2 linked regions of the Saccharomyces cerevisiae S288C genome follow. Changing the gene in region 1 together with any one later gene gives a genetic interaction. Each region holds a gene or a part of one and is shown in the gene's direction. Other genes may lie near its edges. The genes, in order: TPO2 and FCY22.

The links.
Region 2: of TPO2 (region 1) and FCY22, changing one suppresses a phenotype caused by changing the other (phenotypic suppression), as found in Saccharomyces cerevisiae (one study listed by BioGRID).

The regions. Positions count from the first base shown.
Region 1 is NC_001139.9:763,262-767,113, reverse strand, and holds TPO2 (spermine transporter), read left to right. Parts: upstream 1-1,507; coding exon 1,508-3,352; downstream 3,353-3,852. UniProt on the Saccharomyces cerevisiae protein: Cell membrane polyamine/proton antiporter, involved in the detoxification of excess polyamines in the cytoplasm. Recognizes spermine, but not spermidine.
Region 2 is NC_001137.3:274,742-278,993, forward strand, and holds FCY22 (purine-cytosine permease), read left to right. Parts: upstream 1-1,830; coding exon 1,831-3,423; downstream 3,424-4,252. Other genes in the region: FCY21 (purine-cytosine permease), read left to right, coding at 1-1,412; fatty acid synthase CEM1, read right to left, coding at 3,557-4,252. UniProt on the Saccharomyces cerevisiae protein: Probable purine-cytosine permease.

The DNA.
Region 1 (3,852 bases):
AATCTACCTATTTGAAGACTCAGCAGCAGAGAGAAAGTTATATAGAGCAAGACAAAGTACACACAAAGAAAGCAGAGAACACAAATATTTGTGGGGAAGAAGCAAGGTGAGTGGCCGCAGTCATTTTCGGATGAATTTGAGGTTCATGTTTTGATGTTTATTTCTATAAGAAAAGTAAGGAGAAGCACCATTGAAGTATAAATATATCAGCACTGAATGCGCCATTACGGCAAAAAGGAAGGGGAATGCAAAAAAATAAAAAATCTGCCTCAGGTTTTAACACTTAAAGGCACGAAAATAAAAATAGAATGCGGCTGCTTACATACCACTAGCTGAGCAAGACAGCTGCCGTTCAATGTTTGTACTTCGCACCATGAGAGTTGTGGATATGTACTTTATGGACGAAGCTGAAACGGCTAACACTATTATTACGCGAACTTTTTCAACACTTTTACTTCGCCACAAGTGCCGAAGATCGAATCTTACCCAAAATCCGGTTATTTTGTACCTATGCAAAAACCCTTCCCCTGATCTATTTGCCATTTAGCCGCCCAAAGTACCGCAGAAGCTGTTACAAACACATCACGGGCCACCGGAAAAAGTATTTTTTTGCTGCTTACCTGAATATATTTGCGCTTAAAAAAATTTTCCGGCGCTTCCGAGTGAAATATACTGCTTAACTGTGTCCGGAGAAACCTCGTGCGGAAAACAGCGCAAACCGCAAAAACCCCGCAATGGGCGCGCTTACTCAAATTCCCTCGGGTGGTCTCACGGGCTGGCCGCAGCGCAGTCGCCTGCCGCACTAAACCTTAAAAATGCGAGAGCGCATGCACGGCGGACGTCGTGGAAGCCTGACGCGTGCGCCCTTCTCCTCCCGAGGGACATAATGTCTTGGTGCCTTACTAGAACCGATTTCTCGAGATGATTCCATAGCCGTTAAATTCATCTCAAAAGAATAGAGAACACAGCAGCGCAGAACGAAAACAAACTGTCGCGTCGCATTTTACTGAACGAGTCATTCGCATATTCTGCTTAGGTGTCTGAGTCTTTTAAACGCATTCTAGGTTTTTCGAAAAAGCCACCGAAGAACACTGCCATCCGCATGCACTGTAATGCCACTGTTTATTTTTTTTTCTTGCTATATATATACATTGCGCATACACCCTTTTGAGGTTTCGTACTAGGATTTTTTTGTATTTGTTTATGTTCTTTTTTCCTGAAGACATCAAGAAGAAATAAGAAAACAAATATATCATTTTATTGTTTGTGTTTATAGAGAACAATATACAACTTCCTTCTCCTACTATATCAAGTTTAATATTTAATTTTTTTTTTTTTTCGGTTTGAATTTTAATTTTAACTTTAATTTCAAAAAGTAATTGATACATTCTTTTATCAAAGCCCTGCTATTATTCTTTATTTCTACACCCTAATATTTTTTGTCCATTGATATTTTTCCTTTAATTCCATCTAATAACTAATCACAAAAATAATACACAAAACAAATATGAGTGATCAAGAATCTGTTGTTTCATTCAACTCACAAAACACTTCCATGGTGGACGTTGAGGGCCAACAACCTCAACAGTATGTCCCCTCAAAAACCAACTCTCGTGCAAATCAACTTAAGTTAACTAAGACTGAGACCGTCAAGTCTTTACAAGATTTAGGTGTCACTTCAGCCGCCCCAGTGCCTGATATCAATGCGCCACAAACTGCTAAGAATAACATTTTCCCTGAAGAATATACCATGGAAACACCATCTGGGCTGGTTCCAGTGGCTACCTTACAATCTATGGGTAGAACCGCCTCTGCCTTATCTCGTACTAGAACAAAGCAATTGAACCGTACCGCTACCAATTCCTCATCCACAGGTAAAGAAGAAATGGAAGAGGAAGAAACTGAAGAACGTGAAGACCAGAGCGGTGAAAACGAGCTAGATCCAGAGATCGAATTCGTTACTTTTGTTACTGGTGATCCAGAAAACCCTCACAATTGGCCCTCATGGGTTCGTTGGAGTTACACTGTCCTGTTGTCCATCTTAGTTATTTGCGTTGCCTACGGTTCTGCTTGTATCAGTGGTGGGTTGGGAACCGTTGAAAAGAAATACCATGTAGGTATGGAAGCCGCTATTTTATCATGTTCTTTAATGGTTATTGGGTTCTCGCTGGGTCCTTTGATTTGGTCTCCTGTTAGTGATCTTTACGGTAGAAGAGTTGCTTACTTTGTTTCTATGGGTCTTTATGTCATCTTCAATATCCCTTGCGCCTTAGCTCCAAATCTAGGTTGTCTTTTAGCTTGTAGATTTTTATGTGGTGTTTGGTCATCATCTGGTTTGTGTTTAGTTGGTGGGTCTATTGCCGATATGTTCCCAAGTGAAACAAGAGGTAAGGCTATTGCTTTCTTCGCTTTTGCTCCTTACGTTGGTCCCGTTGTTGGTCCACTAGTTAACGGTTTTATTTCCGTTTCTACCGGACGTATGGACCTGATTTTCTGGGTCAATATGGCCTTTGCAGGTGTTATGTGGATCATATCTTCTGCCATCCCAGAAACGTACGCTCCAGTTATCTTGAAGAGAAAGGCTGCTAGATTAAGAAAGGAAACTGGTAATCCCAAGATTATGACTGAGCAGGAAGCGCAAGGTGTCAGTATGAGTGAAATGATGAGGGCTTGTCTGTTGAGACCTTTGTACTTCGCTGTCACTGAACCTGTTCTAGTTGCCACTTGTTTCTACGTGTGTTTGATTTACTCTCTACTATATGCGTTCTTCTTTGCCTTCCCTGTCATTTTCGGTGAACTATATGGCTACAAAGATAACCTTGTGGGTTTAATGTTTATTCCTATTGTTATCGGTGCTCTTTGGGCGTTAGCCACAACTTTCTACTGTGAAAACAAATATTTACAAATTGTCAAACAGCGTAAACCTACTCCTGAAGATCGTTTGCTAGGTGCTAAGATCGGTGCTCCATTTGCTGCAATTGCTCTATGGATCCTGGGTGCTACCGCTTATAAACATATTATTTGGGTTGGTCCAGCTTCAGCTGGTTTAGCTTTTGGTTTCGGTATGGTGTTGATTTATTATTCATTGAATAATTACATTATTGATTGCTACGTCCAATACGCATCCAGTGCTCTGGCTACAAAGGTTTTCTTAAGATCCGCCGGTGGTGCTGCCTTCCCCTTGTTTACCATTCAAATGTACCACAAATTGAATTTGCACTGGGGTTCTTGGTTGTTGGCTTTCATCTCCACTGCTATGATTGCTTTACCTTTTGCATTTTCTTACTGGGGTAAGGGCTTGAGACATAAGTTGTCCAAGAAGGACTATTCCATCGACAGTGTTGAGATGTAAGCTGGTGCAAGTTTCCGGTAAAAATAATGATGTTCTAGTCATTCATATATACGATACAAAAATAACAAATTTCCACATATATTCTGAAAAATTAATTTTTAATATTTTATATTAGGAACTTCTCAAAAAAACGTCGGACATTTCTACATACTCTTTAACGAAATATCAAAGTATTATTGTTTTGCAGCTTCTGAATATCAAGATCGCTCTTGCTACTCTTCCTGAAGTCATACACCGTTATTTCTCACATAAAGCCTGCTTATTCGAAGACGACACAGTTGCACCTTTAAATTTTAACATTATTGTAATTGCCGCTACACTCCTCGTGGCCAATGTCTCTTGTTTTCAAATAATGTTCTCAGTATCACATTTAACTTTTTATTCCATGTATATGTGTGTACATACATCTATAGTGTACTACATAATAATTTCAAGCGCGGGATAATCAACACGCTAATTGACATTATGCAACTCAAAAATCCTGCTGGAGCTCTTTACGT
Region 2 (4,252 bases), on another chromosome or scaffold:
GAATTGCTGCTGGTTTAAGTGCCGAGACAAAGGGTATTGAACCGATTACAGAAGATGAAAAAACTGATGATTCTATACTGAACGCTGCATCTATGTGGTTTTCAGCAAATATGGTTCTGCCTGCTTATGCCATTGGCGCCCTAGGGCCTATGGTGTTTGATCTAAATTTCGGCCAAAGCGTTTTCGTTATTATTTTCTTTAACCTCTTAGGCTTGGTATCAGTTGCTTTCTTTTCTGTTTTCGGTGCAGAGCTGGGCCTAAGACAGATGATTTTGTCTAGATATTTAGTTGGCAATATCGCAGCCAGGATCTTCTCTTTCATCAATTTTATTGCCTGTATCGGTTGGGGTATCGTTAATACCGTAGCAAGCTCGCAAGTCCTGAATATGGTTAACCCCGGTCATCAATGTCCTCTCTGGGCTGGTTGTATAGTTATTATCGGTGCTACTGTAATTGTAACTTTTTTCGGCTATGGAGTCATTCATGCTTACGAGAAATGGGCGTGGGTACCAAATTTTGCCGTTTTTTTGGTAATAATTGCTCGTTTGGCAAGGTCTAAAAAATTTGTCCTTGGGGAGTGGACATCTGGTCCTACTACAGCAGGTAACGTGCTTTCATTTGGATCAACAGTTTATGGGTTTGCTGCAGGCTGGACAACATATGCGGCTGACTATACCGTTTATATGCCAAGGAAAACGAACAAGTATAAAATTTTTTTCTCGCTTGTAGTTGGGTTAGCAACACCATTATATTTTACTATGATACTTGGTGCAGCTGTAGCAATGGCAGCTATCGGCGATCCAGCCTGGAAGACGTATTATGACGAAAATTCCATAGGTGGTTTAACTTTTGCCGTTCTTGTCCCTAATTCTGTTCACGGATTCGGTCAGTTCTGTTGCGTGTTATTGTCTCTGTCCACTATCGCTAATAATGTTCCCAACATGTATACTATTGCTTTATCGGTGCAAGCCACGTGGGAACCTCTTGCGAAAGTCCCAAGAGTTATTTGGACTTTATTAGGCAATGCGGCCGCACTGGGTATTGCCATTCCTGCCTGCTACTATTTTTCTACCTTCATGAATTACTTCATGGATTCCATAGGTTATTATTTGGCTATTTATATTGCCATTGCATGTTCAGAGCATTTTATTTATAGGCGTTCCTTCAGTGCTTACAATGTTGATGATTGGGATAGTTGGGAACGTCTACCTATCGGCATTGCAGGTACTGCTGCCTTAATTGTTGGTGCCTTTGGCGTAGCGTTGGGTATGTGCCAAACTTATTGGGTTGGCGAGATCAGCCGTTTGATCGGAGACTACGGTGGTGATATTGGATTCGAGTTAGGACTAAGTTGGGCATTTATAGTTTACAACATTGCTAGACCCTTTGAGCTCAAGTACTTTGGTCGTTAACGAAAGTTCATTTAAATGTTTCGCTATTTTAGTCTTTGTAATGTAACATAAATGGCTCTAGTATGCAAATCATTAAAAAATAGCATGTATGTTAATTAAATTATCACGGCTCATTCATTTGAGTTGATAACGCAATTCTGATAAGCATATCACGTGACTGTGGTTCTAAGAGTTACTCCGATCGCCAGTAAATACTTTATGAGACGTTGCATTATTTCTGTTTAGTTGATAAATTTTGATTTCTAGTCTGTTGAAAGCCTAATGCATGCAGATGACATAAATGTAGTCTGTTTTTGCACTGGTGATTTGTAAACCAGACAAATATATAACATGATAACCAAATTGTTTGTTATAAGATACGCTTGTCAGATTGAAATGGAGGGTGTTTCAGAAGGTGACTAAAATATCGAAGAAAAGTATGCCAGAAAAGTTAGCCATGTCAATGGTCGATATAAAAGATGCGGGGAGTGAACTAAGGGACCTCGAATCTGGAGCTCTGGACACAAAATCTTCCGCCGCTGATGTATACTATGAGGGTGTAGAATTGCATAGAACCAACGAATTCATTGATAATAAGCCGTCCTTTTTCAATAGGATTGCAGCTGCTTTAAATGCTGAGACGAAAGGTATTGAACCAGTTACAGAAGATGAAAAAAATGATGACTCGATACTCAATGCCGCCACTATATGGTTTTCAGCTAATATGGTGATTGTAGCCTATTCCGTAGGTGCCTTGGGTCCTCTAGTATTTGGCCTAAATTTCGGCCAAAGTGTTTTAGTTATCATTTTTTTCAATATTTTGGGTTTGATCCCTGTTGCATTATTCTCACTTTTTGGGGTAGAACTGGGCCTAAGACAGATGATTCTATCGAGATATTTGGCTGGTAACATCACAGCAAGATTTTTCTCTCTTGTTAATGTCATTGCTTGTGTCGGTTGGTGTGTTTTAAATATTTCTGTTTCTGCTCAACTTTTGAATATGGTGAATGAAGGCTCTGGGCACAACTGTCCTATTTGGGCAGGTTGTTTGATTATTGCTGGTGGTACCGTGCTTGTGACTTTTTTTGGTTACAGTGTCGTTCATGCATACGAAAAATGGTCGTGGGTACCCAATTTTGCTGCCTTTTTGGTCATTATTGCCCAACTATCGAGATCAGGAAAATTTAAAGGTGGTGAATGGGTAGGGGGTGCAACTACTGCAGGTGGTGTTCTTTCTTTTGGTTCATCTGTTTTTGGGTCAGCTGCGGGTTGGGCGACTTATGCAGCAGATTACACTGTTTATATGCCAAAGACCACAAGTAAATACAAAATTTTTTTTTCCGTAGTAGCCGGTCTAGCGTTCCCTCTATTTTTCACCATGATTCTTGGTGCTGCTTGCGGTATGGCGGCCCTTAATGACCCAACCTGGAAGTCATATTATGATAAAAACGCCATGGGTGGTGTCATATATGCTATCCTGGTCCCTAACTCTCTAAACGGATTCGGTCAATTCTGCTGTGTTTTGTTGGCTCTTTCAACTGTTGCTAATAATGTCCCTGGAATGTACACTGTCGCTTTATCCGCTCAAGCTTTGTGGGCACCTTTGGCTAAAATACCAAGAGTAGTCTGGACAATGGCAGGTAATGCTGCCACTTTAGGTATTTCCATCCCTGCTACCTATTACTTTGACGGCTTTATGGAGAATTTTATGGATTCCATTGGTTATTATTTGGCTATTTATATTGCCATTGCATGTTCAGAGCATTTTATTTATAGGCGTTCCTTCAGTGCTTACAATATTGATGATTGGGATAATTGGGAGCATCTACCTATCGGTATCGCAGGTACTGCTGCCTTAATTGCTGGTGCCTTTGGAGTAGCGTTGGGTATGTGCCAAACTTATTGGGTTGGTGAGATCAGTCGTTTGATCGGAGAGTACGGCGGTGACATTGGGTTCGAGTTAGGCGGAAGTTGGGCGTTCATCATCTATAACATTGTAAGACCTTTAGAACTCAAATATTTCGGTCGATGACTAAATGTTAATTGATTAATATTTTTGCTAATCATTGAAATGATTGGTTTTAATGGATAAATCTCGACATTCGAATAGATAGCATATAATTCAAAAACGATTATAATGGGATATATATATAAGTTTAATAATATTAACTCCCTTCCCATTTCTTGAAGAGAAGAGATGTGTTAACTCCTCCAAATCCGAAGCTGTTGCATAATGCGTACTTCGGATTAGCTCCCACAATAGGTTTGTCTCTTATGAAATGTAGCTTATCGGCCTCGTTATTTTCTAGAGTCAGAACATTGTCCAGGTTTAAGGTATGCGGCATCTTATCATCCTTCAAGGAACAAATTGTAAATATACTTTCTACGGCGCCAGCTGCACCTAAAAGATGGCCAATTGCACCTTTGTTACTGGATATGTACAGTGGCTTGCTTTTGGATCTTCCTGGTAAGAGTGCTGAGGCTACTGCCAGACACTCTGCTTTATCGCCTAGTAAAGTTGATGTAGCATGTGCATTGACGTAGTCAACATCAGTTGGTTCTAATCTAGCCATTTTTAGAGCCATCTCTATTGCTCTTTTGGCACCATTTCCATCAGCAGGAGGGGAGGTAATATGGCAGGCATCACTGCTTAAACCATAGCCCACGAGCTCAGAAATTATGTTTGCATTTCTCTTTTGAGCATGTTCTAGCGATTCCATGACAATCATTCCGCATCCTTCACCAAGTACGAATCCAGAACGTTGTGTATCAAAGGGTCTAGAGATCCCGTTTGTAGTAATCGACTTTGCTCTGATGAAACCTGCTAAACTTAACGGATGCAAACTCGTTTCACTTGCACC